Linked DNA regions of Elephas maximus indicus. The protein of the gene in region 4 interacts with the protein of the main gene of each other region in a pairwise test. Links are inferred from orthologs where the notes say so. Each region holds a gene or a part of one and is shown on either strand. Other genes may lie near its edges.

What was found.
Region 1: the proteins of EGFR (region 4) and PIN4 interact in a protein complementation assay, tested with the Homo sapiens proteins (2 studies listed by BioGRID and IntAct). The link is inferred for Elephas maximus indicus from reciprocal best matches to the Homo sapiens genes EGFR and PIN4.
Region 2: the proteins of EGFR (region 4) and TAB1 interact in binary tests that used the Homo sapiens proteins (3 or more experiments, as listed by UniProt). The link is inferred for Elephas maximus indicus from reciprocal best matches to the Homo sapiens genes EGFR and TAB1.
Region 3: the proteins of EGFR (region 4) and HCK interact in binary tests that used the Homo sapiens proteins (3 or more experiments, as listed by UniProt). The link is inferred for Elephas maximus indicus from reciprocal best matches to the Homo sapiens genes EGFR and HCK.

The regions. Positions count from the first base shown.
Region 1 is NC_064846.1:97,314,751-97,321,978, forward strand, and holds the start of PIN4 (peptidyl-prolyl cis-trans isomerase NIMA-interacting 4), read right to left. Parts: upstream 3,068-7,228; 5' UTR 2,976-3,067; coding exon 2,933-2,975; intron 1-2,932.
Region 2 is NC_064822.1:183,333,565-183,341,555, reverse strand, and holds the start of TAB1 (TGF-beta-activated kinase 1 and MAP3K7-binding protein 1), read right to left. Parts: upstream 3,260-7,991; 5' UTR 3,237-3,259; coding exon 3,204-3,236; intron 1-3,203. UniProt on the Homo sapiens protein: Key adapter protein that plays an essential role in JNK and NF-kappa-B activation and proinflammatory cytokines production in response to stimulation with TLRs and cytokines.
Region 3 is NC_064843.1:37,418,182-37,426,156, reverse strand, and holds the start of HCK (tyrosine-protein kinase HCK), read left to right. Parts: upstream 1-4,722; 5' UTR 4,723-4,982; intron 4,983-7,975. UniProt on the Homo sapiens protein: Non-receptor tyrosine-protein kinase found in hematopoietic cells that transmits signals from cell surface receptors and plays an important role in the regulation of innate immune responses, including neutrophil, monocyte, macrophage and mast cell functions, phagocytosis, cell survival and proliferation, cell adhesion and migration.
Region 4 is NC_064826.1:107,230,704-107,238,687, forward strand, and holds the start of EGFR (epidermal growth factor receptor), read right to left. Parts: upstream 3,074-7,984; 5' UTR 1-3,073. UniProt on the Homo sapiens protein: Receptor tyrosine kinase binding ligands of the EGF family and activating several signaling cascades to convert extracellular cues into appropriate cellular responses.

The DNA.
Region 1 (7,228 bases), on a different chromosome or scaffold from region 4:
GGCTGCATCTAGCTCTTTTCAATTCTATATCCTGCCAATTTCATGGTAAATCCTGCTTGTCATGGTAAATCATCACTATGCAGATCACATCTTCTACAAATTAGTGTCTTCAATTTCAGTAAGGCTCTCAGCCCTGAGAGCAATCCTTTTACTTGTGTTTCTGTCGCTCCCTCTCCCATTATTCTCAATGACTATTCCAAATCTCTACCACTCTCCTCAGGATCCCTACTCAGTCCCTGTTTCTTAAGAAATATCCTTCCCTTAGACTTTATCAAGAAATTGAGGCGATTATGCATGATCTCCTACAAGCTCAGCTCCTTCCCCCTTGCTGGCCCCATTTTTACAACCACACTGATCCTTGCCTCTTTCTTTGTGACCCCAAGCACAAAATGTCCCTTCTACTCAAAGGTCAACTGCTCTGCCTCCTTCACCTCAGCTTCACTTCCAAGTTTTCCCCATTCTGAAGAAACAAAACTTCTTAATCCTTTATCCTCCTCTAACTACCATTCAATTTCCATGCTTTTTTGAATTAAAACTTTCACAGGTAGTCCACACTGATTGTCTCCATTTTACCACTACTGTCAGTCCTCTAGTCACTGCAATCTGGCTTCTGCCTTCCTCATTCCAATGAAACCACTCTTGGCCTAAAAAAAAAAAAAAAAAAAAAAAGGCCGCCTCTAATTCCCAAATCTAAACAGTGCTTTTTTCAGTCATCATTTTATTGACCTCTTTGCTGTGCTTGATAGGCTATGCCCTCTTTTCTTGAAACCTTCTGGTCTTTCTGACCTCTGGAATACCTAGCTACTGCACTCCCTGTGGAAGCCCTGGTGGCGTAGTGGTTAAGAGCTATGGCTGCTAACCAAATGGTCAGCGGTTCAAACCTACCAGGCACTCCTTGGAAACCCTATGGGGCAGTTCCACTCTGTCCTATAGGGTCACTATGAGTCAGAATTGACTCGACGGCAGTGGGTTGTTTTTTTTTTTTTCACTCCCTGTATCTGTCTGCCTCTTTCTCTACCTGCCCCAGGATCACATCCTCTGCCCTCTGCTCTTCTTATTCTTTAAGCTCTCCATGGATAATCTCATACACTCTCATGGATACATCTATATAGGTTCTTAAAATATATATACATATTTTACTTTATTTTTGTTGCTGTTGAGAATACACACATCAGAACATACACCAACAATTTCTACGTGTACAATTCAGTGACACTGATTACATTCTTCAAATTGTGCAACCATTCTCACCCTCCTTTTCTGAGTTGTTCCTTCCCCATTAACATAAACTCACTGCTCCCTAAGTTTCCTATCTAATCTTTCAAGTTTCTGTTGTCAATTTGATCCCTTATAGATAGATGTTAAAAGAGTACAATGTTCAAGGCAGATGGTTCTTTACTAGTTAAGCGAAACTACTGCTTGGTTTTAAGACAACTTCAGGGTATATTTTTGGGTTACAGATTCTCTCAGGGCAATAGTTTCAGGGGTTCACCCAGCCTCAATGGCTCCAGAATGTTTGGATTCTACGAGAATTTGAAATTCTGTTCTGCATCTTCCCCCTTTTGATCAGGATTCTTCTATAGAACCTTTGATCAAAATGTTCTGTAGTGGTAGCCAGGCACCATCCAGTTCTTCTGGTCTCATGGCAAAGGAGGCAGTTTTTCATGGAGGCAATTAGCCATACGTTCTATTTCCTCCTACTATTACTCTCTTTCTTTCTCTGTTGCTCCAAGTGAAGAGAGACCAAGTGTTGTGCCTTGAATGGCTGCTTTTAAGACCCCAGTCACTATGCAACAAACTAGGAGGTTGAACAGAAACACTGAAAACGTTATTAGGCCAATTAACTGGGATGTCCTATGAAACCATGACCCTAAACCTCCAAATCTAGGATCCATCTATATGCTAATCACTCCTAAATATATATGTGCCACCTAGATCTCTCCCTCAAACTTCAGACTCAAATATCCAACCACCTCCTGACTACATCTCCACTTATACGTCCCACAAACACTTCAAGTTCAATATATCTAAATGTGAACTCACCAACCTCCTCATTCCTGCTCATATATTCTTCATTTTAGTCTGCAACACCAACATCAAGTTAGAAACTGAGACCTAAAAACTGAGAACTATCCTTGATCCTTCCCCTGTTCCCAATCCAATAAATCACCAAGTCCTGCATATTTCATATTGTATGTATTTATAGAATCTGTTCTCTCCTCTCCATTCCCACAGCCACTACCTTGGTTCAAGTCACCATCATATCTCATCAAGGACTACGATAAAAATCTCCTTGCAGGTCTCCCTGACCCTTCTTAGCACATAACCAACCTTTTTAGCATCATACATAGCACTCTCCAGGATTTGCCCTCTGTCTTCATTCTCACTACTCACCATTCAGTCCTGAGTTTTTGGTCCAGCAACACTGTGCTGCACATACCATATTGTTCCTCACCTCAGTGCTTTTCCTGCTAGACCTGCTGCCCATCTTGACCTGCCTAACTCAGCTCCAGGAAGTCTTCCCTGTTCCTCAAGCTAGATGAAACACTTCCTCAGTTTCCGTAATATCCCATACACATTTCTCAACACTGCATCTAGCACAGTGCTTTACGGTTTCTATCTTCCCCATTACTTCCCGACCTCCTTAAGAGCACGATATCTTATTTTTACAACCTCAGCACTTAGCACTGTACCTGACACATTTCTGTTCAATGGATAAACGAGTCTTTCCCCCATGGTAGGGATGACATTCTGCAAGCATTAAAAGGAACTTCAAGAAACATAATAAATATGTACTTTTTATTGCGGACCTAGGCAGCTCTGTGGGACCGCTGCCACGCGCTGTCTTTGTCCTAGACTCCGGGGGTCGCCTGTATGCTCCCTCCCCTCGCTCCTCCCACGTCCCCATTCTCCCTTTTTCTGGCAGCTCTACCTTTTCCTCCTTTTCCAGCACTGCTTTTTCCTTTGGGCGGCATCTTCGAAACTTGCCGGAGAATTCGCAGCTGCTTCCGTTGCTGTACAAAGCCCCTTCCGGCCCCATGGACACGTCCTAAACAACGCCTGAAAGGGGCATCTCAATTAGCCGTTCTTACCGCGGCTCCGAAAGCAGGCATATCCTAGGGCAGACCCAGACCTTTGGCCCTCGGACCAATGGGGCTGAAGATATCTGACCAATAAGAAGCTTAGAGAGGCGGAGCCAAAAGTAGACTTGAGGCAGGAAATCCCTCCTTTTTAATTTTTTGTTCCTGTTGCACAACACCCCAATCGGCTCCACGACATTGGGTTGGTTTGGTTTTGGTATTTGCGGGAGCTTCCAAGCGCCCCCCACCCCCGCCCCGGCCTGTTTTCTCCACGCCTGCGTAGTAGGGGTCAGGGGGCTTGTGCGTTTCTTTAAGCGCCTGGTGCCTCCAATCCTGTGGAGTCACCAGACGAAAGAAAAGCCGGAAGCGTCGCGGAGGTAGCCCATTTTCCCACCGAAAAGCGTGCACTTTCTTGCGGTTTCTTAAAAAAAAGAAATTTATTTTGCAGCTGTAGCTGATTGGGTTCAAAAGGTAGTTTTTTTTTTTTTTTTAAAACGTGTATCACCTCCTCAGCCTCTTGCGGAACTCTCTAACAGTGAAAAATTGGAAGCAGTCTTAAGTGTCCCTCGTAGAGCACTGTTTAAATAGATAATGTCTCAGCCGTACAAAAGAACGTTATGCGCCACTTAAAATGATTGTAAGGCTGTCCGTACAGATACGAGAAATGTCCTTAAGGAAGCTTACAGATGAAGGTAGAGACTGTTTCAATTGAAAAAAAAATAGAGTATTATATATGCATACAAAGTACAGGCAGGTTGTGCAGCAAAATGTGACCAGTGGTGCTAGTAGAGATTGTCGTGTATGCTTCTGTGTATTTCCCAAAATTTCTGTAATGGTGCAGCGTAATGTAATAGTTAAAAGCATGGATTTTTTTTTTTAACTACCAGACTGCCAGGCTTCAAATCCCTGCTCCACCATGTAGGAGCTCTGTCACCTTGAGGAAGTTACCTCACCTCTCTCTGCCTCAGTTTCATCATCTGTAAAATGGAGTTGATGATAATAAAAATAATAGTACCTACTTAAAGACTGTTAAGAGAATTAAACAAGTTCATATTTGTAAAGCATGTGAAACAATGGCTAGCTCATACTTTTGGATGCCCTCAGTCAATTTCAACTCTCAGCGACCCTATGTGACAGATTAGAACTACCCCATAGGGTTTTTGTTTTTAATAATATTTTATAGTATTTTTCTGGAAGTTTACACAGCAAATCAGGTTCCCATTTGACAATTTCTATGCAGATCGTTCGGTGATATTAATTACATTTTTCACAACTTGTAACATTCTCTTTAATTCCATTATGGTTGCTCTGTGTCGAGTACCCTAGTGTCCGTGCCCCCTTCTCATTTTTGCTTCAGGGTAATTGTTGATCTTTTGGTGTCCTATAGATGGTTCTTTAATGGAGCACCACATTCATGGGTAGTGTCCTTTCTTTTGTGTGCTACTCTGTTATTTTGCTAAAAGGTGACCTAAGGGGATAGTTTCGCTTCAAGGTTTAAAGAGTATCTCAGGGTGATAGTCTCAGGGAGTCCTGTAGCCTCAATTGGTCCAGTAAGTTTGGACTTTTTAAGAATTTGAGTTCTGTCCCACATTTTTCTCCCATTCAGTCAGGGTTCATCTATTGTGGCCCTGATTAGAATGGTCTGTTAGCCCTGTAAACTAGTTTCTTCTCTGAGAATTTGGTTTCCCTCTTACTCTTCTGCTCCTGACGAGTAGAGACCAATAGTTGTATCTTAGATGGCCGCTCGCAAGCTTTTAACACCCCAGACACTACTCACTTCACTAGGATGCCAAACATGAACTTCGTGAGCTATATTATACCAATTGACTGAGTTGTCCCATGAGACTAAGGTCCTAAGCCTTCAGACCTAGACAACCAATCTCTCAAGGTGTTTGGTTATGTCTGAGAAGTATCTGGAATTGTGTCTTCTATGAATATATGTGCCTGCACACACATATCTATGCTTATAGATACTTCTCTCTGTGTGTACATATATATATACTTGTACCTATTTGTGTATTTGTATATCTATATGCCTATATGTATACGTATGTGACCATCCACTCATTTTTTTGGTTATTGTTGGTATTGCAAAAATAAGATGTCATTTTCTTCAGCACAAACATCTTTTTCTCTTGCATGTTTCTTAGTGACATCATTTACTTTAATCAAGTAGTGCTCATTACACCCATTCAGTGTTACTTTTCCCATCACCAAAATAACAAGTATCTAGGATCTAGAGTGTGAGCCCCCCACCCCTGGAAACCACTAATAAACGTTGGTCTCTGTATATATATATATATCTATCCTGGTCGTTTTATGAGAGTGGGATCACACAATATTTGTCCTTATGTGATTGACGTATTTCACTTAGAATTGTGTCCTCCAGATACATCCATCCTGGACTCATCATTGTTCTTTATGGTTGCATAGTAGTCATTGTGTGTATGTACCTAGGGCTTGGAACTGGTTTGTTCAGGTATGAACTCTTGCTGAGAATATGCATTTCTAACAAGTCCCCAGGTGATGATAATACTGCTAGTTAGGGACCAATTCTGAGAACCACTAGTATAGCAGTGGTTCTCAAAATTTATTATATATAAGAATCACCGGGGGATTTGTTAAAATGTAGATTCTGATCCAGTATGTGTGGGGTGAAAATGCAATTTCTTAGCAGAGGTTTGAACCAAAACGAACCAGTTTGAAGCCCTGTATGTACCACATTTTGCTTATCCATTCGTCTGTTGATAGGCGCTATGATGGTTAAGATCGTATGTCAGCTTGGGCATGATTCTCTGTTTTGGCAGTCGTATAATGTGATCACTTCCATGTTGAGATTTGATATGTGATCATTCCCATGATGGGATCTGCTGTGAGTAGCCATTCAGTTGAAAGGGAGTTTCCTTGGGGATATGACCTGCATCTAATATAAGTGGACATTCTGGCAAGCCTCGGGGGCTTTTCGCTTGTGCTGGATCCTTCAGCTGGCTCCTGTTCATCTGACCTCTGGTTCTCAGGACTTGAGCTAGCAGCTTACCTGCGGTCTTGCCTGCTGATCTTGGGATTCATTGATCTTCACAGCCCGTATGCAAGAGCCCTGCTCTCTGACCTGTCAGTCTTGGGTTCACCAGCCCCTGCAGCTACGTGAATCAGGAGAAGCCTATATCCTGACCCATGGGCTTGGGACATTCCAGCCTCTACAACCGCATGAGCCATTTCCTTGGTATAAATTTCTCTCTATATATTTATACGCTTTACTGGTTTTGCTTCTCTAGAGAACCCAGCCTAAGACAGGCACTTAGGTTGTGTCCTAGTTATCTAGTGCTAGATAACAGAAATACCACAAATGGGTGGCTTTAACAAAGAGAAATTTATTTTCTCACAGTTTAGGAGGCTAGATGTCTGCCTTAATCATCTAGTGCTGCTATACCAGAAATACCACAAATGGATGGCTTTAATAAAGAGAAATTTATTCTCTCACAGTCTAGTAGGCTACAAGTCCGAATTCAGGGGATCGGCTCCAAGGAAAGGCTTTCTCTGTCGACTCTGGAGGGAGGTCCTTGTCATCAGTCTTTCCCTGGACTAGGAGCTTCTCTGCACAGGAACCCCGGGTCCAAAGGATGTGCTCTGCTCCCGGCACAGCTTTCTTGGTGGTATGAGGTCTCCAACTCTCTGCTTGGCTCCCTTTCCTTTTTTTAAATATCTCTTGTAAGATAAAAGATGACCAGGCCATGCCCCAGGGAATTTCCCTTTACATTGGATCAGGGATGTGTCCTGAGCAACGGTGTTACCTCCCACCCTAATCCTCTTTAATGACAGGCAGAGATTATGATTTATAACACATAGAAAATTCACAAAATGGAGGACACACACAATACTGGGAATCATGGTCTAACCAAGTTGACACATATTTTGGGGGGACACAAGTCAATCGATGACAGTGTCTGAATTCAGTGTGCTGCCTCCATGGGAAGGCTTTCTCAGCTCTGGAGGAAGGTCCTTGTCCCTTTTGAGCTTCTGGTCCTGGGCCATCTTCATGTGGCTTGGCATCTCTCTTCACCCCTCTTTGCTGTTGCTGTTGCTTTTTTTTTAAATTGTGCTTTAGATGAAGGTTTACAGAACAAACTAGTTTCTCATTAAACAATACA
Region 2 (7,991 bases), on a different chromosome or scaffold from region 4:
GGGGACATCGTCACCTTCATATCCTCAGGCCCAGGAACCGCAGACAGCAGCCCTCATGACCATCTGCTGAATGAAGGCGTTTCAGCTGCTCTCACCAGACTCAGCAACGGAGGGCAGGTCAGCCAGCCCTGCTCACTGCCTGCCCCTCTCCTCTGCGGAGCACGGATGTCCAGATCATCACTAGAGAAAGTCGCAGGAAGGGGCCTTGTATGGCCTCTGTCTTTAAATACATATGTATTTAAAGCTAACTTTATCCAATCTTTAAAAAGTACAAGGAAAGATTCCACAACTACCCTCAAGAACACATACGAGAGCTAGTGAAGCTCACCTTTTATCTAACCCAAGTTCCTTGGGCTCCATCACGCCTAGAAGGGAGCCACCCACCCTCTGCACAACCCAGGCAGCCGCTCTCTCTTCAACAAGACAAGTCTACCTGTAGCACTTATCACTTCCACAGCCACTCTCTCAACATCATAATCCAGGTAGTAAGCGTTTCCGGAATGCTTACTACAATGGGGACTGCCCTCCAGGAGCTCACAAAGCAGAGGGTACCAGCCATACCCAACCAACTTCTCAACAAGCCAGACTTGAGCAGCAGTAAAATAAAACCCATTGCCATCAAGTTGTTTCTAAGTCATAGAACCCTATAGGACAGAGCAGAACTGCCCCATGGGGTTTCCAAAGCTGTAATCTTTACAGAAGAGACTGCTATCTCTTTCTCACTGCAGAGTCGCTAGTGGGTTGAAACCGCCAACCTTTCAGATACCAGCTGAATGCTTAACCACTGTACCACCAGGGCTCCTTAGTAAAATAAAGGGGCAGCCAGTGCCCTCTGGTGTGGAGGGGAAGAGAGCTGTCCCCACCAGGGAGCAATCTGGAACAAGGCTCTGCTTCCAGAGAATCTACACAAAGCCTGCCATTAACATGCAACAGTGAAGGTCACCCTCACACCCAAATCCCCATGCTTCAAGACCCTCAATGGCAGGAGGGCCAATGTCTGCTGCATATCCGTAAGGCCAAGGCTAAGCAATGGGCCAGGCTACAAATGCTTTACTCATTTTTTCACCAATTTTTATTGAGTACCCGGCACACAATAGTGTAGATGCTGTAACAAAAGTAAGCAAGGGGTCCCAAGTCCCCATCTTCAAGGAGTTCACTTTCCAGTATGGGACCCAGAGAGGTCCACAGGCAACTACGAGAATGCCATAACTAGGGCAATGGGGAAAGTGGTGGTTCAGTGGTAGAATCCTGCCTTCCACGCCGGGGACCTGGTTCGATTCCCACCCAATGCACCCCGTGTGCAACTATCACTCATCTGTCGAAAAAGGCTTACGTGTTGTTAGGATGCCGAACGGGTTTCAGTGGAGCTTCCAGACTAAAACAGACTAAGGAAAAGGGCCTGGTGATCTACTTCTGAAAATCTGCCAATAAAAATCCTATGGATCACAACAGTCCGATCAACAACCGATCACAGGATGGTGCAGGACTGGGCAGCGAAACCACTGTGCAGGGGCTGCCATGAGTAGAGGGCTAACCCAACAACAGCTAACAATCCATGACCCGTAACTTAGGAGTTAAAATTGGAGCCATTATTCCCTGTCCTTGAGTACAAAGAATGTGGCCCAGATGAATTGGACTCAGAAGGACACATCAACTGGGCCTTGAGGTACAAAAAAAATAGCTAGAACAACCTTGAAAAACATCTTTTAGTGACTCTTTTACATATTCGGAGCACAAAAGACCCACCCATTTTCCACTCTTACTTTTTCTATTAGCATTTAACAAACAGTAACATTTGTTGGACCAGTGAAGACCCTCCTGTCATTACCGAAATTTGTACCAGTAGCTATTAAGAAAGTCAATTCAAAATGCAGAATCATGGTGATTTAGCAGTTTTTAGTCAATGTGTGAAAATGTGAAACTTTTAATGATTTTACCCACTGTAATGTTAATGTTAATATATACTGATGATTCTGTAACATTCCTTGGACTCGGGCAGACGTGGTTCTGGCAGCGTGCTTGTCCGTTTCCTACTTTTGCCTCTTGGAACATATGCCAAATAAAGTCTTTCTCCTTGCTCTACTATAACTTTGTGGTGATTTTACCCTAGGACACTGGACAGGACCCAGAGGATGCTTCCCAGTCCTGGCAGGTGGGAATAAGCCTGTGTTGCCAATGTGAGCACATATGCATCTGTGAACATGCATCTCAGGAGGATGCCCGGGGCTGGAGGGCAACATCACCACCAAACCCAGGAGTGTCCAGGCTGCAGGAGAGGGGGGATCTCAGGACAATCCTCCCACTCCAGGTCTGCTCTGCTCTCTGCTTACAGATAAGGAAACTGAAGCTGAAGGAGGCACAGTAAGTCAGAGTCACGACCAGAACTCAGGTGGCCACTATCTCAGTCATGCCTTCATTATAGCCTAGAGTTTAAGAGGGTTTCCCAAAGGTCGGCAGTTCGAATCCACCAGGTGCTCCTTGGAAACTCCATGAGGCAGTTCTACTCTGTCCTACAGGGTAGCTATGGTCAGATTCGACTCGACGGCAATGGGTTTGGTTTTTCTTTTTCTGGACTCAGACCGCAGATTCGATTCCTGCCTCTGCCACTGACCAGCTGTGTGGCCTCGGGCAAATGACCACCTCTCTGTGCCGCAGTTTCCTCAACTGTAAAACAGGTCTAAAAATAGTACCTTATCGGTGTACTAAGAAAATTAAATTTACTAACATAACGCAATGAGCACAATGCCTGGGACGTAGTGAACGGTATATGAGTGATGCTGCCAGGATTATTACTACTATTGCACGACTACCCCGAGCGGCGGGTGGGCTCACAACCCGGGCTCCTTCCGCTGCCGCGCGCCTCACTCCCCGCCGGCTCCGAGAACGGTCCCACCGTCGACGCCCGGCCGGGAGCGCCGGCAATGCAGTGAGGAGCCCCGGGGCCGCAGGCGCTCTGACCGGGAAGGCCGTGACCCCAGCCGCCGGCCGGGCAGGACGCACGCGCGGGACGCGCAGGACCGAACCTCCAGTGCGCGCCCCCTGCCCCGGGAATGAGGGGGTCGGCCGCGGGAGAGGGGAGGGAAGCGGCCACACCCCGCCCGGGAGAGGAAGGAGGTCCAAAAGCGGAGAGGGAGTCGCTCCTGGACCAAACAGGCGTCCCCGGACCCCCTACCCCCAGCCCAGAGACCGGGTCGGTTCCTCACACTCTGCAGCAGACTCCTCCTCTGCGCCGCCATCTTGGAGGGACCCCCGCGGGCGCTCCCGCCTCCCGGCAGAGCAGGCGAGAAGAGCGGCTAGAGCGGCCTGAAGGAGGCGAGGACGACTGCATTGCCAGGGAGCATGCGCCCAGCGCCACCCTACGGCCGTTGTCAGTTAGGGCCGTGGCGGACCGTGTGCGCAGGCGCACTTGCTTTCCTACTTTTTTCCCTCCGGGGGAAATTTAAAAGAAGGCTTTATTGTACCCCTACATTTTACAAACCGCCCTCCCATCCTTATATGATTGCCTCTCACCCGTCTCTATTTGCGCACTTTCTCAGGGGTACCTTTCAAATGAAACTTCTAAATCCCTGGATTAGGGTCCCCGTATTTTGTGAATCCATGTAGTATACCCCCTTTGGAGTCCTTGGGTGGTGCAAATGGCTAAACGCACACTACTAGCCAAAAAGTTGGTGGTTCGAACCCACTCAGAGGCACCTCAAAAGAAACAACTAGCGATCTGCTTCCGAGAGGTCACAGCCTTGAAAGCCCTATGGAGCAGTTCTACTTCGCACACATGGGGTCTCCAGGAGTGGGAACCAACAGGATGGCAACTAACAACAACTGGTGCCTTTGGGAATTTTATCCAAAGTCACAAGCATCCTTTGGCTTTTATGATCTCCATAGTGTAACTTCTTATTGCATTACCTTTTAAATCTTCCTTTAAAATGCTTGTTTGTAACTGTTATAAGCCTCCTCCTGAGGCACTGGTGGTTTAGTGGTAGAATTCTCGCCTTTCACGCAGGAGAACCCATCTGCATTTTACGCACAAACACCACCCATCTGTCATGGGAGCTTTGCATGTTGCTGTGATGCTGAACAGGTTTCAGCGGAGCTGACAGGCTAGGAAGAAAAGCCTGGTGAACTACTTCCAAAAATCAGCCGATTAAAGCCCTATGGATCACAATGGTCTGATTCACAACTGACCGTGGGGATCGTGCACAACCACGTGGGCTTTTTTTCCATTGTACGTGGGATCGCCATGAGTCAGGGCCAACTGGACCGACCACAGCTAACAACAACAACCTGAACACAATAGCTGGAACAGGGGGTACATGTTCATTCATTCACTCAACAAATACTCCTTGAGTGATCATGCCTGGCATTATAGTGGGCACAGGGCATAACACAGCAAGCAAAACAGGCCATCAAAGCTAACATTTTAATTGGAGAGGACAACATTTTTATACATAAGTTACTTCAAATGGTGTTAAGTACTAGGAAGGAGATGTTTATGGATAGTGCCGTGGGAGTGTGGGGCAAGGACCCGGTCTGTGGAAGCCATGCTTGGGCTGAGATCTGAACAGGTGTTAACTGCTAACAGGGAAGGGCTGGCCAGACAGAGGGGACAGCTAGTGCAAAGACCAAGGAAAGAGAGAGCGCGTGGGCCCAAGAAACTGCCAGAAGGCTGGTGTGACTAGAGCAGAGGTGGAGGAGGAGTGAGGTGATGTGGTGGGGGTGAAGGGGCAGCCTCTGGGCATGCAGGCCCCAGGCAGGAGTTTGACTTCTCATCCCCAGGACGTAGTTGCTGACTTCTGAGCAAGCCAGTGACATGATTCTATTGGTAGAAAGATCCCCTTGACTACTGCCTACAAGACATATTTTTAGGGAGATTGGAAGGAGGCAGAAAGGCCAGTTAGGGGAATATTGTAATAGCTCTAGGCAAGAGATGTTAGTGGTTCGAAATGGCTGATGGCAGTGGGTGGATTTTATTTAGGAGATGAAATTGTCAGGGCTTGATGATGGAGTAGTTGTGGGTGGTGATGGGAAGAAATGTGTCAAAGATATCTCCCATATTTCTGGCAAGAGCATCTAGGTTTGGGGGAGTGAGAAGGGAATGACCATGAATGAGTTCTATTTGAACTCATTGAGTTAGAGGTGTTTTTGAGACATGTAAGTAGAGAAGTCAATTGTTGGATAGAGGGGACTGGAGCTCAGAGCAGAGGCAAAGACATGGTGAGGAGTGTCTAAGGAGGGTGTGGGCAACAGCGTGAGATGCTTGTGAGAGCTCTAGTTAGAAGAGAGCAGAAGAAAGCCCATTAGAGTTAGTGGTCCAGAGGCCTTTGGCCCAGGCAGTTCAGGTAGGATGTAGGACCTAAAAAAAAACCGTCACTGCTGTCAGGTTTTTTCAACTCATAGTCACCCTGTAGGACAGAGTAGAACTGCCCCATAGAGTTTCTAAGGCTGTAAATCTTTACAGAAGTAGACTGCCCCATCTTTCTCCTGTGCAGAGTAGCTGATGGGTTTGAACTGCACACCTCTTGATTAGTAGTTGAGCACTTAACCACTGCACCACCAGGGCTCCTCAGGATGTAGGACAGAAGCCTAAATCCAGTGAGTTGAGAGATGGCTGGAAAATGGAGACATGGAGACCTAAGAGTAGGTGGTTCTTCCCAGTTGGTGAACTGTGACAAGGAAGAGACAGAAAAGGGAACATGGAAGGGGATGTGGGATTGAGAGAAGGTTTTCTTTTAGTTTGGAAGGACCTAAACTTGAGTCTGTTTGAACGCTGAAGGGAAGGCTTAATACAGAAGAGTTGATTCAGAAGATAGAGGGTAGGGGTGGGAGCGAGCCCAGGGCTGGGATGGTGACTCATCATTTTGCTGTCCTACCAACATAGCACCACATGACTCAGGATGGCTGCTCTAGCCATTTTGTCTTAATTCAGCTAGCAGGTAGGAGGAAGGTAGGAAGATGACACCTCCCTCCCTTTCCTTTTTTTAAAATTAAACATTTATTTGCAAGATGTGTCTCTTTCCTTTTAAGGAGACTTCTGGAGGTTCCCCATGATGCTTCTACTTATGCCTCGTTGGCTACAACCTAGCCCCATGGCCATATCTAGCTGCAAGGGAGGCCAGGAAATGTAGGCTTTGGACTGACCGATAACGTGCCCAGCTACAAATGGGATCTATTACCAGAGCAGGATTGGAGAATGGGAACCAGGAGGCTGTGAGCAGTATCCGCCATGAAGAAGGGAGGAGGAAAAGGGGCAGGTGGTTTGTCTGTTGAAGGAAAGCCTGGAAAAAATAAAGATTTGGAGCTCAACCCCCTCCATTCTAATCCCTGCTCCATATCCTGTCACCTGAGTGCTCTTGAACAAGCAACCTCCTCTCCCTGGGCCTCAGTATTCCCCTCTGTAAAAAGGGAGTATGAGGATTAAATGAGATGCCATGGAAAGACCTGACCTGTGGTAGGCACCAATGTTTGTTATATTCAGACTACAATTTAATTAAAAAAAAAAAAAAACTTTATTGTGCTTTAAGTGAAAGTACAATTTCATTTTCTACAGATTTAATAAACCCACATTGAGCACCTGGTGTATACCAGGTAGTTTTTAACCATGTACTTATTTATGTCTCATTCCAACCTCGTAAGGCAGGTATTATCCCGCTTATTTGATAAAGCAGGAAATTCCAGTTCAGTGAGCCACCCAAAAAATAGATGTTGGGATTTGAACTCAGGTCTTCTAACTCCAAGGCATTTCCTGGCAACCCTGTGAGGTAAGCAGACCCTAGAAGGCCCTTCACAGCTCAGCCTCAGCATAACCACTTATAGTTTCCCAAACAACCATATCATTCCCTGCTTCCATGCCTCTGTAAATCTCGTTTGTGCTGCCTAGAATGCCTTTCCCACACCTGCCCACCTGGTGAACCTCTGCTCACTCTTCAAGACTCCTATCAGATGAAATCCCTATGCCATGAATCACTCTCCATCACCTTTGATTATTTAAAACCGTAACTATGGTTTCAGGGACCAGGACTTAGAAGACTGGAACTGTGGCAACTCAGCCCTGGTCTTCAGGCCCAGAGGAGCTGCTCAGCAAATGTTGGTGGCATCGAACTGGTTGAAGAGTCGGACAGCCACAGCCATTCATGGACACTTTGGTAGATGAGGAAACTGAGGCACAGACAGGCCCAAGGTCTCTGAGTGATTTAGAGGAGAGCTGCAACTCTAACTTGTGGCCCCTGGCCCCATACCCACCCCTTTTTCCATACCTAACCCCTCCCTCAAACAATGCAGTGTGGGGGGCCCTGCCTCCAATATCCCTCTGATCTGGTTTTCCAGGAAGCAAGGGGAGAACACAGAGCTCAGCACCACACAACACTTGGAAGACCAACTGTAAGTCTGTGCCTCCTCTTAGCAGGATGGAGACAGGCAGTCTACTGTGGACACCCCTCCAATTCTCCCCTCCATGGGGATGCCATGCCTGGAAACCAAGCTGTAAAATGGCCTCGGAACAAGCGTGTGTCAGCCTGGGGTCTGCAATCAATCCAAGACACGTCCCCGCCAAAAGAACAAAGATGCCACGACTACCAACCTCGATTACTGTTTAAACAGCCGGAGTGTGCTCTGGGCTGTAGCATGGGTGCCCGGATGGGGGGCAGCCTGGAGTGGGTGAGGATCTCCCATGCACCGCTGTGCACACGCAGCCCAGAACATCAGATATCTCCGCGGCCCTGCACCATGACCTTTCCAAACCCAGGCGCCAGTAGAACACACAGCCTAGAGCGCTTAGTCGCAGGGGTCGGGCCGCCTTCTGGGAGCTGAGAAGGGCCTTGCGCACAAGGCCAGAGACCCCTAGTCATAAAATACCGCCTGATAAGGTCTTCAATGAGGCTTTCTACGCCTGCAGCCAGCGCCCCACAGGCCAGCAGATTCCAGTCAATCCTTTGTTTGGCTGCAGCAGCAACAGCTCTGGCTTGCAGATATCAACTAAAGATGACATAGGATGCTGA
Region 3 (7,975 bases), on a different chromosome or scaffold from region 4:
CAAGGAGCGCCTGGAGGATTTGAACTGCCAACCCTTTGGTTAGCAGCTGTAGCACTTAACCACTATGCCACCAGGGTTGTGGAGCAACTGGAAATTATACATTGCTGGTGAGAATATAAAATATATCCACCTTGAAAAGCAATTTAGTAGTTTAATGTAAAGTTAAACATACACTTGCTACGTGACTCAGCAATTCTACTCTTAAGTATTTACCAAGAGAAATTAAAACATGTCCACACAAAGACTCGTAAATAAATGTTTATAACGGCATTATTCATATAGCTAAAAACTGAAAACAACCCAAATGTCTATCAGCAAGTGACTGGATAAACAAAGTGATACATGTGTTTACGGAATTCTACTCGGCAGTGAACAGGAGCAAACCACTGGAACCTGAGAACTGAGATCCATGGAGAATCTCAAAAGCAATATGTGATTGAAAGAAGACAGATACAAAAGAGAACATACAATATGATTGCATCATGTGAAATTCTAGATAAGACAAAGCTAATCTACGATGACAAAAAGCAGATCAGTGGTTATCTAAAGCCAGGGGTGGGAGGCGTTGGCTGCAACAGGACATAAGGGAACTTTTTGGGGCAATGAAAATGTTCTGTATCTTGATTGAGGAGGTAGTTACACTGGTGTGCATATTTGTTAAAACTCATCAAACTGTACATTTATAAAGGTTGCATTTTATTGTATGAAAATTATACCACAATAAAGTTGATAAGAGATTTGGGAACATGTACAGGAATTTTTATAACAACATTACTTTAACAGCAATGAATTAGAAAATTGGTCATTAACAGAAGAATGTTTCAGCTCTGTGTGACCCTCTGCCATCAGAATGGCAAACATTTGGAAGGAGATGTAGCAGATGCAGATAACACCCCTCCCATGTCCCCTCAGCCTTTACCAGGACCGGCATCTCTTCCTGGAGGTTCTCTCTGGTGGCTGGATCCCTCTCTGCCCAGGCATTGACACGGCCTGGGAGTAGCCATTAGCCACTGTCTGACAGGAGTTGGTGTGTAAATGTCTTAGTTACCTCATCTATCAGGTAGGATAACTCTCAAGTGGTAGAGTACACTGTCTCCCAGAGTTCCCCAGCAGGACTGAGCTCCAGTTGCCCACACTGGTAACTTGCTTGATGTTATTGTTAGTTGCCACTGAGTTGGTTCCAATTTATGATGGCTCACTTGATAATGCTTCCTTAATTGGTTTCCTTCCCTTCCTTATCTCACTCACGTCTCTACCAGTGTTATCTGTGTCTCCAAAAAAACAGCTACTTTCACTTGAATCCTTGTCTAAGGTTTGGTTCTGGGGAATTCATATTAAGACCAGGGGGTGATACCAAAAGTTGATGAAGTTAATGGGGAAATTGTTGGAGAGAAATTGGGTGGCAGCCATTCTGCAAGTATCTATCATTTTTGGCAAAAGCAAGTCTTAAAACTTTTCACACAGGTCCACTAGGGGATGTATGTAAGGATGCCTAGTGTGGCATTGTTTATGTTAGTGAAAAGTTGGGTGCAATCTAGGTGTCCATGACTAGGGAAATGGATAAATAAAATGTGGAGGATGTAAACAATGATTACATGGTAGTTAGAAGCAGTGAACAACCAGTACCTCCAGCAACGTGGCTAGATATTAACAGCACAGTGATAGAGTGAAAAAAGTATGAAATTTATAAGTACGATTCAAGTAAATTAAACACACACTTAAAACATTTCCTACTTTTTTTTTTTAAAGTATATACATATATTTAAGCACATATACCAAACACATAAGAGCAGAGGCATTGTCTTTCTTGTTCATTGTTGTGAGCTCTTAGGGGACATTTGGCAATGTCTGGAGACATTTTTGGCTCTCACAACTGGGGGATGTGTGTGCTACTGGCATCTAGTGTGTTGTTCTTAGTTGCCAGTTGCCAGTTGCCATCAAGTCGGCTTCCACTCACAACAACCTTATGTATAAGAGAAGGAAACGTTGCCTGGTCCTGCACCATCTTCATGATCATTGGTATGTTTGAGTCCATTGTTTTGGCTAATGAGTCAATCCATCTCATTCAGGGTTTCCCTCATTTCAGCTGACTCTCTGCTTTACCAGGTTTCACTGGCTAAATCTTTTCAGAAGTAGACTGCCAGGTCCTTCTTCCTAGTCTGTCTTAGTCTGGAAACTCAGCTTAAACCTGTCCACCATGGGTGACCTTACTAATATTTGAATACCAGTGGCATAGCTTCCAGCATCACAGCAACACGCAAGGCCCCACGGTATGACAAACTAACAGACACTTTACCAGGACGGCGAGACTATGTCTCACATGCTTTGGACATGTTGTCAGAAGGGATCAGTCCCTGGAGGAGGACATCATGCTTGGTTAAGTAGAGGGTCAGTGAAAAAGGGGAAGACCCTCAATGAGATGGATTGACACAGTGGCTGCAACAATGGGCTTAAGCATAACGATTGAGAGGATGGCGGGGGATAGAGCAATGTTTTGTTCTGTTGTGCATAGAATCACTATGAGTCGGAACCAACTTGACAGCACCTAACAACAACTGCTTTACCAACCGTGATGTCTTTTTCTAGCAATTGGTCTTTCCCGATGATGTGTCCAGAATAAAGAAGCCAAAGTCTCCTTTGCTCCCAAGGAGCATTCTGGTTGTATTTCTTCTAAGACTAATTTGTTGTTTTTCCAACAATATTCTTCACCAACGTCACAATTTGAATGCATTCACTCTTCCGTCTTCCTTTTTCATTGTTCAGCTTTTGCATGCATATGAGGCGGTCAAAAAGACCTCATATATTTGGGTCAAGTGCACCTTAGTCCTCAAAGTGACATCTTCGCTTATTAACACTTTAAAGAGATCTTTCGCAGCAGATTTGCCCCATGCAATTTGTCCTTTGATTTCTTGACTGCTGCCTCCATGGGTGTTGATTGTTCATGCAAGTACACAGGTGGTGGATCTAGGGGGTAGAGGTCAGGAACGCTGCTGAAAAGCCTGCAATTCACAGGATTAGCCCCCTTTCAAGAAAAATTTTAAGTCCAAAAGTCCAGAGTACCGAGTATGAGAAGCTTGACTTATCCCAGCGCTCAGCACAGTGTCCTACACAGTACTGCTGAATGAATGAATGAATGAATGAATGAATGAATGAATGAATGAATGAATAAGAGACAACGGTAGCCAGAGCTGGCTTGTGGCTGTGGAAGAGAGAGACACAGTACATTTTAAAGTTGTGTCTGGTAGAATTTAGGGTGACAGTTCCTCTCTTTTCCAGGGGCAGATGGGTTGTGCTCTTCTCCAGCGCTGAGCCGGATCCCATCCAGTCACCCTTCTGCCTCCTGTCCACCCTTCTCAATTTGGGAAGCTGTCTGTGTTGCCAGGAAATGGGCAGGAACCAGCCAAGGGCAGTTTTGCGGGCGCAGAGCTTTGCATGGCGTTTGACTAGGGCAGGGCCTGTGGACGGGAAACCACTGACCACAGAAGGGCCGGGAAGGCCAGGGATGCAGCGTGGGAGAGGCGCCTGGGCTAAAAGGCGGGTGGATGGGGAGACCCAGAGGTGGCGAGGACTTCGGGATCCCCAGAGAAGGAACTTAAAGCAGAGGAGGGTGGAGTACCAGGTTAGACTCCTGTGGGATGAAGGGAGATGGGGAAACTAGGTTAGAATCTTGAGGAGGGAGGGCAACCGAGTTAGGTTCTTTAGGGAGTTGGTGGACAAGGGAGGGATTAGAATTGGGGGGGGGGCAGGTTAGGACCCTGCTGGGAGAGACAAGGTGGGGGTTAGGACCCTTCAGGACTAAGTTGGAGTCTTTGAAAAGAGGGATTCGAATCCTTTGATAGGTGGAGTTAGAATCCCGGGGGGGGGGGCGGATTAGAACCTTCGGGTGAGCAGGGTTAGAGTCCTGAGGGGGAGGTTAAAATCCTTCTGGAACAAACGCGGGAATCACTCAGGAGTGGGATTAGAATTCCTAGGGTTAGAGCTATAAATCTTGAGAACCTGGTTAGAATCATTGGAAGAACCAGAAACCCACTGCCGTAGAGTGGATTCCGACTCATAGGGTTTCCAAGGCTGTAAACCTTTAGGATGCAGGCTGCCACATCTTACTTCCTCGGAGCGGCTGGTGGTTTCGAGCCGCCGACCTTTGGGTTAGCAGTGGATCGCTTTAACCACTGTGCCACCAGGGCTCCTTTAGAACTAATAAAAAATTAGAGGAGTTAAAATCCCTGGGGGCAGGATTAGAAATCTATGGTGGGCGAGGCTAAAAATCCTTTAGAAGTGGAATCGAAAATCCTCTGCGGTCACAGTTACGATCTTAGGAGGAGGGGGCCGGGTTAGGGTTCTCTGGAGGGCGGGTTAGAAGCCCTAGGGGCAAGGTTTGGAATCCTTCGGGGACTGGATTAGGCTCCTTCCGAGGCGAGGTTAGAGTATATTAGGGGCGGTGTCACGATACGGGGAGGAGGAGATGGGGGCTAGCTTCTTTGAGGGACGGGTTAAAATCCTTGGGGCGGGGTGAGGACCTTTGACGGCTGTGTTAAAAGCCTCCAGTGGGCGGAGTTAAAAATCCCGGCTCCTGGGAGGAGTGCACCCAGGGTAGGCTCCCCAGGGAAAGGGTTAGAATTCTTGGGGTGGGGTTAGAATTTGGGGGAAGGGGTCAGGCTCCTTTGGGGAGGGGTTAACACCGGCGGGGCGGGGCTAAAGTACCTCTGGCCTGTGGGCGCCCGCGAGTCCCCGGTTCCAGCCCCCCGGCTCCGCCCAGGCTCAGAGGCGAGTGGGAGGGGACCGAGCCGGTTCAGCTGGAGAAAAGTCCGAGAAGGCCCGCGGCTCCGAAGCCCCTGGGAGCCGCGCCCCAGTATTTTCTTCTCGAAAGTCACTCCGTTTTCCTCCAGGCTCGGGCGCCCCGGAACCCCGGGGGCTGCTAAGCTGGGGGGGCGCCCGAGCTGCGAGAATCCGGGCTGCCCGCGAGACGAGGAGCGGGCACCCAGGTGAGTGTCGCGGACAGGCCGGTGGCGGGGGGATAGCACCTGGCCGGTGAGCTCGGGGTCCTCGGGCGGCGGAGGGAGCCCGGGGTCTTGGGCAGGGCTGCCTGTGGGTGCAGCCAGTCGGAGGGGCGGGAGCAGAGCGCGTCCGGGGAGCCGCGGACAGGCGGTGGGATAGAGGACCAACGGGGACAGGTGGGTGCCCAGGTCAAGGAGGAACTGCCATGGCCCAGCTGGGAGCCTGGGTAGCCCAAAGGGAGGGCTGAGTGACTTTGTGCTCGAGTGCCACTTCTCTTGCCGTCCAGGTTCCCCTTCTGCAAAAAAAAAAAAGAGAAGGAAGGGATGCGGCTCCCATGAGCAGACGGGAGGGGAGGGCCTTTCAGGTTTTCAGTGGGGGAGGATGACAAGTCACAGCGGGCTGGCAGCTGGTCGAGATCCCCTCCGGCCCAGGCCGGAGCGGGAAGGGGGCAGCTGGGTGGGGGCGTGACCTATGAGCCACACCCAGGCGGGGTAGCAGCTGGGCCAACTCCTTGAGCTCCCTTTCCCTGCCGGTCTTGGCCGGGACCCCCAAGAGGTCTGAGTCAAACCCCAAAACCTCTTGGGGAGACCACAGGATGTTATGAGACCTTGGGCAAGTCACTTCATTTCTCTGAATCCCAGTTTCCTTATTGGTAAAACAGGGCTATTAATTCCTTCCTCAACTGCTACAGTGAGCTAGAGTTTGTGAGAGGTTGTGTACGTGAGGTTGTTGCCTCTTAAAAAGAGACCGTTTAGTGTAGTGGTTAAGGGAGAGGACTCGGGTAGGGGATTTGGCCTTTCTGTGCCTGGGTTTCCTGGGAATAAAAATAATAATACCTCCATCACAGAGTTGTTTAGAGGATTAAATTGAGTTACTTAGGGGAAAGCTCTTAGAGACCGCCTGATAGGTATACATGCTTAATTTGTTGCCATAGCTTCAGAGTCCCTGGGTGATGCAAATGATTAACCGGCTCCAGATAACAGAAAGGATGCAAGTTCAAGTCCACCCAGAGGCACCTCAGAAGAAAGGCCTGGCAATCTACTTCTGGGGGAGAAAAAATCAGTCATCGAAAACCCCACGTAGCACAGTTCTCTGACACACATGGGGTTGCCATGAGTTGGAATGAACTTGGCAACTAGTGGCTGGATTGTCGTAGCTATTAAGGTCTAACCCAGTGGTTCTCAAATTTAGCAATACATCAGCATCACCTGGAGGGCTTGTTAAAACACAGATTGCTGGGCCCCAGCCCCAGAGTTTGTGATTTAGTAGTCTGGGGCAGGGCCCCAGAGAATTTGCAGTCTCAAACGATGCTGGTGCTGCTGGTTCCGGGATCACACTTTGAGAACCACTGACCTAATGTATGGCTGGTGCAGAGAAAGGTCTTAATAGATATCAGTTCCCTTATCCCACAGCTTTCTTGTCACTATCCCTTATTGGGGAAGTGGAGATTTTTAAAAATACAGAAAAGCAAAGAGACTAATACACTAAATATCCCAGGAACCCAATACCAGGAATTAACAAATGTTAGCATTTTGTCATGCTTACTTCCGAGTTTTTTTTTTAATGAAATTACTAAAAGTAACATGAAATCGAACCCCTCGCCCATATCCCTCCCAGTCTTGTTTCTCTCCCTCCTGAGTCTACCACTGTCATAAATTACAGCCCTTCCAGTCCATGTTTTTATAAATTTACTGCATATATATGTAATGCATCAATAAACAACACACAGAATTGTTTTCTTTCTTGACATCTACATAAATATTACCTAACTGTAAGAGTCTTCTGCAATTTCTTTCTTTCTTTTTTTCCTTCACATCATTAAGCTGTCAGAGTCTACCCATGACGAGAAATAATGGTCCCTTCATTCCTTTTAACTGCAGAGGAGTGTCCCAGTGAGTGACCACCCACATTGTTTCTCTTTTCCCTGTTGGTGGACCTTCAGGTTGTTCCCAGGTATTCACTGCTATAAAAGATGCTGCGGGGACCATCCTTTTCTTTCTTTCTTTTTAAAATTGTGCCTTAGATGAAAGGTTACAGCTCGAGTTAATTTCTCATTCAAAAATTTATAAACATATTATTTTATGACATTGGTTGCAGTCCCCCCAATGGGACAGCATGCTGTTCCTTTCTACCTCGCCTTCCCTGTGTCCATTGGTCCAGTTCCTGTCCCTTCCTGCCTTCTCATCTTGCCTTTGGGCAGGAGGTGCCCATTTGGTCTCATATATCTGATTGCACTAAGGAGCATATTCTCACTTGGGTTATTGTTTGTTTTATAGGCCTGTCTAATCTTTGCCAGAAAAGCGAGATTTAAGAGTGCTTTGGCTCTGAGTTAGCAGAGTGTCCAGGGGCCATAGCCTCGGGGTTCCTGCAGGTATTACTTGAGGGCAATGCCAAGGGGCTGATGGCTTCCCTGAAGGGGCCCCTCTCTCCCTCCCCTTGGGGAGAGGACAGGTAGGCCTGGAAGGGTCAACCAGGGAGTCTGGGGCAGAAACGAGAGAAGAATCTGGTTCTGCTGACCTCCCAGGTCTCACATTTTCACTGCACAAGGTCAAGAATCCTCATCCACCTTGTTCACTGTGCCTGGCATTTAGTAGATGCTTGAAAACTGGAAGCATACCTCTACCGTCAGCCCAAAAAACTGATGTCTGAGGGCCCTTGCCCCAGCGGGTGAGGAGAAGGGTGTCTGTGCTCAGAGAACTGGCAGCCAGGGCTTGGAATTAATTCTTCTAGAAAGAAAATTTCTCGGGGGCATGGACATGTCTGCCTTGTAAACCACTGTGTCCCTAACACCTGACTCATGGTTGTTGTTGTGTGCCATGGGTCAATTTTGACTCCTAGCGCTCATTAGGCCCTCAAAATATATTGAATGGACAAACGTTAACAAACGAATGTTGAACGACCTCTGCCCTCGCCTGCCTTAGATATTTCAGCCCATAGGTGTATTTCACTTGGCCATATTGTGATTCTTTCTAATCAGTTG
Region 4 (7,984 bases):
CACTAGATATCTACCTTTCCTGAAATGAGAATTTTACTAAAAAATAAATAAAAATAAAGATTCACTCATCTCTGTAATCAGTCTGGAAGTGAACGTCTCACACCGCTTTATAAGCAGACTTCATCCTCATGGCTTTTCTCTGAAGAAACAGTAGCAAAAACAAGCGAATATTTCTCCCAAAGAGGTCTTCTTTGGTGGTGGTGTTAGCTGCTGTCCAGTCAGCCCCCGACTCAGGGAGATCCTGAGCACAGTGGACCTGATGGGCTGCAGATCAGACTGTTGTGATCCATAGGGTTAGAGTGCCAGACCTTTTTTCCTAGTTCATCTTAGTCTGGAAGCTCCACCGAAACCAGTCTGGCATCCTAGCTATTCGCCAGCCTCCACTGACAGATGGGTGGTGGCTGCACATGAGATGTACAGGACAAGAATCAAACTCAGGTGTCCAGCATAAAAGACAAGCATTCCACCACCGAACCACCAATGCCTCAGACCCAGGGAGTCCTAGAAGCTCAGAAATAAAGCAAGGCCTCTGTACTCCAAGTATATGGACAAATGATTTTTCATTGCACTCCTCCAAACATTCTTCCCTCAAACCACCCATTCCTATCCCTACCTCTGCTGCTTTTTAAAAAAGACTTAAAATTTTTTTTTACAGTAATTTTAGGTTTACAGAAAAATTGCACAGAAAGTACAGTACAGAGTTCCTCTATATCTTCCCTCAAGCCCCTGCACACAGTTTCTCCTATTACCAACATCATGAATTGGTTTGGTACATTTGTTACAATCGATGAAGCAATATCAAAACCTTGTTAGTAACAATGTATCAGTGGTCCATAGTTTACATTAGGGTTCACCCATTGTGTTACAGAGTTCCCTGGGTTTTGACGAATGTCATGTATCCACCATTACAGTATCATTTGTAATGTAAGTGTGGATAAAGCCTTTTCATGGGATCCTCTCTTTCTACACCAAGCTTTATCCGAGTTTGTTTTTAAATGGTGATAGCACATGGCCTCCTGGTTGATGGGGTTACTTCAAATATTGCGGCCAACATCGGTGACATGGAGGTTATGACTGCTACTGTGCTACTTGGGTGATGGCTTCAGTAGAGACTGGAGTGAGGAAATGTGAACACTCACCATCAATGCAGAAACTCAGGGAAGATTCAGCTGGCTGAAGATCAGTGTGCCCTGGACATGCAGACACAAGCAATCTTTGGTTTGACCTTGTTCTGCATCTCACTCTATCTCTTAGGAAAGCTGTAGCCTAAGCTGCAACTGCTACCCCAGAAACAACCAAAGCCCTAGCAAACAATGAAATAAAAAAGAGAATGGGGCTGCTGCCACTGGAATGTCTGAATCCTGTATTTGGGGCTCTGGTGACACAGCGGTTAGGTGTTTGGCTGCTAACCAAAAGGCTGGCAACTCAAATCCACCAGCTGCTCCTTGGAAACCTTATGGAGTAGTTGTACTCTGTCCTGTAGGGTCACTATGAGTCAGAATTGACATGACGACAACGCGTTTAGTTTTTTTTTTTTCCCTAGTCCCAGAAGAATGTTTTGATATGAAGTATGATGTTTATGAAGAATACGCAAAATAGAATGATGATGTTTTGTTGAGGATTTTTGCCTGTGGAAACTTAATTTTCAGACCGAGATATTTCAAAACAAAAAAGGCAAAACCAAAACTATGACTGTTCTTTTGACTAAGCTGTAAAAGTAGAGAGCTCACTTTAAGTTTTCAACATCATGTACCAATAATTATTGGTAATAATAATTAATTAACCTTTCAGGGACTTTGCTTATTAGGACAGGCATCTATTTGCTTGACTGTACATTATCCATATTGATGACTTCCTCTAATAAGTGGAATACTTTGAGATATTTTCCATGGGTAGCATTCTTGCTGTGTCCCTAGTTAATCCTGAAAGCATCTTAGGATATAACAGCATTTTCCTGCAGATATAACCAATCTGAGATTTTTTTTTTCCTCTGACCTTCATCATTTAACTCTGAAATCATGGATTTGGGTTCACTATGAATACAGCCCTACCATGCACGAGCCATTACAGTAGGTGCTGTATATCCTTTTCTCACTTCAATGCAAGAGCAATGCTGACAGAGAGATATCATTATCTCCACCATAAACCCAAACAAATCGCCATTGAGTCGATTCCGATCTCATGGCAACCCCGTGGTGTGTCGGAGTAGAAATGTGCTCCATAGGGTTTTTAATGGCTGGTTTTGCAGAAGCAGATTTCCAGGCCTTTCTTCCAAGGCACTTCTAGGTGAACTCAAAGCTCCAAACTTTCAGTTATTAGCTGAGCACAGGAACCACGTGCATCACCTGGGGACGCCATCCCCACCATACAAGTGAGGAAAGTGAGGATGGAAAACTGACCCAAGACTCAGTGTTTACTGTTTATAGCTGAGCTATCAACATCAGCCTGTCTGATCGCAAAACATCTCTGCCTCAGCATCCTGCCTCCCAGAATTACTAACCTCAAAATTGAGTTCTGTAATTTCACCTCTAGCTGAATGTATTTTTTATTTTTAAGTTTGGGAATGTCTATGTGAAAGAAAAATTTTGTGTTCTTTTGTTTTGTTTTTACTGCATCATTTTCAGGCTTAAGAATCACATGCATATCAGTCTTTGTTCCAGTTTATTTGAAAGGAAGGGAAACTGTGCAACTAACTTTGGGGACAGCCAGAACAGCGTGGCATTTAAGGAGTTGTCCTAAGCAGGTGCTCTCGTCTCTAAACCCACAGCATCATGGGTTACAGGAGAGAAGCAGCATGAGCTCCACCACCAGCATACCAGGAAGGAAGAATCTGTACACTTAGTTTGCTAATATTAATCTAAGAATCAAAGCTTCTGAACTGCCCTCTTTGTAACGTAGTGAACAGAACCTGACAGTGAAAAGCAATGCCTTTGCAATATGCTGAAGATGATTTGTTACGATGAGTGATCAACTAATCTACTTATAGAAATCTTGGCTTTATACTTTGTTTCCTTAGAACCAAGGTTTGTCAGGTGCAGGCTGACTGTTCTCCTTAGCACGAATTCGATACTACCTCCTACTACCTCCTAGCCCTGTCTCTCCTCTGCTGACGCCAACTTGCCAGAGCATGCTTCACACAAAATCTTTCTTTGTATTAAAAAAAAAAAAAAAAGCACTGCAAAAGTCTGGAAAGTATAGGAGGCAAGACAATGTCACAGCAATATGACCAGAGAACTAATTCTCCAGTTACCAACTCTCTGAGTTTTAAGACAGGGCTTGTAATTTTCAGAAGCCAAACTAGATTGTGGTTATTTACAAATGTTCCTTATACTTATGAGATGAGAACAACTCCTGCTGAGAAGCAAAAGTCTCTCCAAATTGAGGGAAAAGCGCTCAATTGCAAAAAAGAAGCAAGAAAGGACTACAGCATAACCTATAGGGTAACTTCTCCAGACGCCCACGGCCCAAGGAGACATTTTTAGTGCCTTATACAGTTATCTCATCTGCACTGTATCCCCCCTCCCTAGGTTGTTTTATATATACCAAAAATCAAACCCGTTGCCGTTGAGCCAATTCCAACTCATAGCGACCCTGTTGGGCCAAGCAGAATTGCCCCATAGGGTTTCCAAGGTGCGCCTGGTGGATTCGAACTGCCGATCTTTGGTTAGCAGCTGTAGCACGTAATCACTACGCCACCCAAACCAAAAACCAAACCCAGTGCCATCGAGTTGATTCCGACTCATAGTGACCCTACAGGACCCAGTAAAACTGCCCCACAGAGTTTCCAAGGAGCGCCTGGTGGATTCGAACTGCCGGCCTTTTGGTTAGCAGTTAACCGCTATGCCACCAGGGTTTCCACTATGCCACCAGGGTTTCCTAAATATATATATAGATGTAGGTATATAGATATATCATAAAATTTGCTACTTAACCATTTTTAAGTGCAAAAGTCAATGGCATTCATTATATTCACAATGCTGTGCATCCATCACCATTATTTGCCTTGAATTTTTTTTTCATCATCCCAAACAGAAACTCAGTACCCTTTCAGCAATAACTCCTCATCCCCCTTCTGCCTCCCCTAAAGAGAGATCTATTTAGGTCTCTATGCATTTGCCTATTCTAGATATTTCATATAAGCAGGATCATATTTGTCCTTTTGTGTCTGACTTGTAGAATGTTCTCAAGGTTCATTCGTGTGTGGGACATATCAGGACTTCATTTCTGTTCATGGTGAAATCCCATTCCATGGTGTGGATTACCACATTTTGTTTATGCTTTCAGCTGTTGATGGATGCTTGAGTTGTTTCCACCTTCTGGCTATTGGGAATAGCGTTACAGTGTACAAGTATCTGGTTGCGTCCCTGTTTTCATTGCTTTTGGGTATACACCCAGGAGTGGAATTGCTGCACATTGTGTTTTAATCATGTAGTCATTAAGAGGAAAATTACGTTAGAAACAGTATGTAACTTTCTGGAATAGTTCATCTTTTTCATAACAGGGAGAGACGCCAAGAATCCCTGAGCTAGAAAGGAAGGCTGGAGCAAAAAGGTCTTAGCAGCAGAGGGTAGTCTGGGAATGACAGAGGCCATATGACTCAGATTTGTTTAGTAAAAGAAATTCCACTTACTGTACTGTTCCTCAGTGCCTTCAGCACTGCTGTCTGTATCAAAAGCCTGTGGGTACAAAGGTGACGTGAAAAACAAAAACACGCTCACTTTTCTCTTGGGGAACAATGCTGCATGTCCCCTAATTCCCCCAACACCGTCTGGTCTCTATCTTGCTCTGCTGACCTCCTCTCTGGCTTTATTCATAGACCTCTCCTTGGCCAGAGTTAACATGTTTGCGGTATGATTCACTGTGCCATGATTCCAGGCTCTTTTCTGTCCCTTTTGCAGCAGGAACCTTTTAATGAATATTCTCAAAAATGGGAAACAGGCTGTCAGTCTTTAATGACTTTCCTGTTCTTGCTTTATATGTGTCATCTTAAAATACAACTGATCTTTTTAAGGATACAAATGTGTTTGTTATCACCCAGACAGTTCTAGTGAGTAAATTACTCTTCCGGAATAATAAATGAGAGGCTTTTGAAAGTGCATTAACTGTTTAGATTCACCCAGCTCCGATCAACTGCTCAGGGAATTTCCACCCGGCTCGTGAGTCACCAGCAAAGGTTGCTGGTCCACTCCTCTCCTCCTTAGGGAGTGATTTAATAAGTCCATCTAAGTGTTTACACATTAAAATCCAGAGTGCAGCAAGAATCTCCAGTCACAGTAAGAAATTCCAGAGTTACATTTCTGAGAAAGTAGCAAGAAAATTCCGAATCTAACCCTCCCATTTATCAAGGAACCAAAAAATGTCCTCTTCCAGATACTTCACACTGACTTCTGTATGCCCCGAGAGTGCTTATTTGAAGAGATATGCCTTCTAATTTAATTACATTTTATCTGGAGCATGATGCATAGTTGAACCTTTCCATGGGGATGCAAGTGGTCACGCTGACCAGCAATACTGAGCCACATCAACCTCTTGGGCTACTGGTCAGCGAAACCAAACCAGGTGCCGCTGAGTTGATTCCGACTCATAACGGCCCCATGTATAGCTGAGTATAACTGCCCCATAGGGTTTTCTTGGCTGTAATTTTTTTATTCAAGCAGATCATCAGGCCTTATCTTCCACAGCACCGCTGGGTGGGTTTGAACTGCCAACTTTTCAATTAGCAGTCGAGCGCAAACCATTCACGCCACCCAGGGACCTCTTGGGCAATTGGTACACGGGGGTTATTCGCACTTCTGAGCTGGTGATGCTGTGTGTATCTGGTTAGTTTCAAGACGGCTGCATCTCAGAAAAGGGAGAATAACTTCTGCGTTTGCTGATGGTAAAATACTTTGAGAGGATCTCATGGGAAGGGAACTTTTTCCATAACTGTAGGTTTAGCATTTGCTTAAAAAATAATTTTTTTGTTCATTACAGCTCCTCCCCCACACCTGGTCTTTTAATCTTAAACACACACGCCACCCCTCCACAATTCTACTGCCGTCCAGGGAATACTGTATCGTTCCAATCGCATCAGCACATATGGTTCCATCTCAATTATGGACCAAAGTAAACTAAAGGCCTGGAACTTAATGACTTCACCAGGGAAGAGGTTTCAAACAAGATCAAGGAGGAAGCGTGGGGGAGAGAAAATCTGCCAAACAGCAGAAAGGGATGGAAATGAGAGGAGGAATCGTGGCCAGTTGAAGGAGGCCAGCTTGCTTGCTTCCGGGCATAGATTTCTTAATTTTTCTTATTGTTTGAAACTTGACCCCTTCTGCTCTTTCCATTGGACCTTAAGTGAAGAGAAGGGAGATGCAACGTGGTGTCTGAGGAGCAAAGAGACTTTGGCAGCTTACAGGGCTGGGTTTGTGGTTTGGCTCGGTGAGTTTGGAGAAATTACTCAACTTCTCTGATCCTTGTTTCCTTACCTTTAAAAAAGGAGCCAAGATGCCTCTCTTTTTTGTTAATTTTAAGCACTAAAATGAGGCAATGATGGGCATAACGGGCAGTTCTGGGCATGAGCCAAGCATTCACCACGGGGTTGGATTCATATTGTATAAGCAAGAAAGGGTTCCATAAAGTTTGGGCTAAAAGCACATTTTCAAGTTGAGCAAAGCATTCCATTTTAAGTAGCTCTTCAAAGATGCCCCAAGACAGTCTCTGACATTTCCAAAGAAATTCTCTTGGGAAAGCAAAACAGGCAACTGGAATGCAGAACCACCACCACCACCACCTCCGTGGTAAAAATGCTAACAATGAATATGCAGCAATATGTGGTTGGCTCTGCCTGCTTCTCAGATATGATCCTACAGGCATGAATGCAATGAGAGCAAATACAACGAAATCATACTTAGAAACCTATGCACACCTTTTCATGCAGATAAGCAGTGAAGAAAGAGAAAAAATATGTTCATTCAAGCAATAGGTAATAAATGATAATTTATTTAATTGAATTGAATTTTTCTGCAAAGTATTTCTAGGCTGTGGTTTTACTCTAAGGGTTAAGAAAGGGGGTACGTGGGCTGTGGAATCCTGAATTTCTCTACTGTTCAATTTTTTCATGCCTGTGTATTATTCCAATTTTAATTTCTATGCTGCTAAAGCAAAAACTCCTGGGCCACAAATGCAAGTGATAAAGCTGCTGCTGTGAGTTGAAAATCCACTCTCCGTCACCCAACGCCAACAATCTACCCAAATCACCTGCTACTTCTTTAAAGTCTAATTTTCATACAGAAATAAAGTTTTCTTTTTCTAGAAAGTCTGCTGGGGCTTGGGTTGAGACCATGTTCTAGACAAGTTCTCTCCTTCTCCATCTCTCTTACCTCTCTACCCAGGACTTCTTCCTAAGTACTATCTGCAGGGCTCTCTTGTTCTTAAAGGCTAGATTTCTTACTTTTCACTTATCTCCCCAGGACCAAGTTCCCCTTCTGTTTATTGTAATTTTATTTCCTTCTGCACTGCCCCAAACTTCCCTGGAACCGAGATTAGAGTTCCATCAACCTGGACAATTAGATTTCCCTTGAATTCCACCCTATCATAGGAAGTGAGCAATAAACACTTGATCTTCTGATGAAGAGTCAGTAGGAGCCATTGTCCCCAACGATCTCACCCATTGAGTGCCACTGGGTTTTGTGGTGCTTAAATAGGTTTTGTTTTTTGGATGCTGTATAAATTAAGTCCATCAAGTTACAAACTGCCTAGTTGGGTAAGTAGATTAGATCATAGTAGATCAGAGTTTGTCTACTTTTATTATTTTTTTTTCTTGCAGTCTGTGGCTAAGTTCCATTTGCCTTGGTTCCAAAAATCCACATATGGAAGATGAAGTTTCACACAGATATGTTTATATTTGTATAGTCATTTATATAGCTGACATCCTCTGAGACCCTCATCTATGGTAGGGAAAAGCTTCCCTCACACACAGCAAATCTGGCTTGTGAAGCACTGG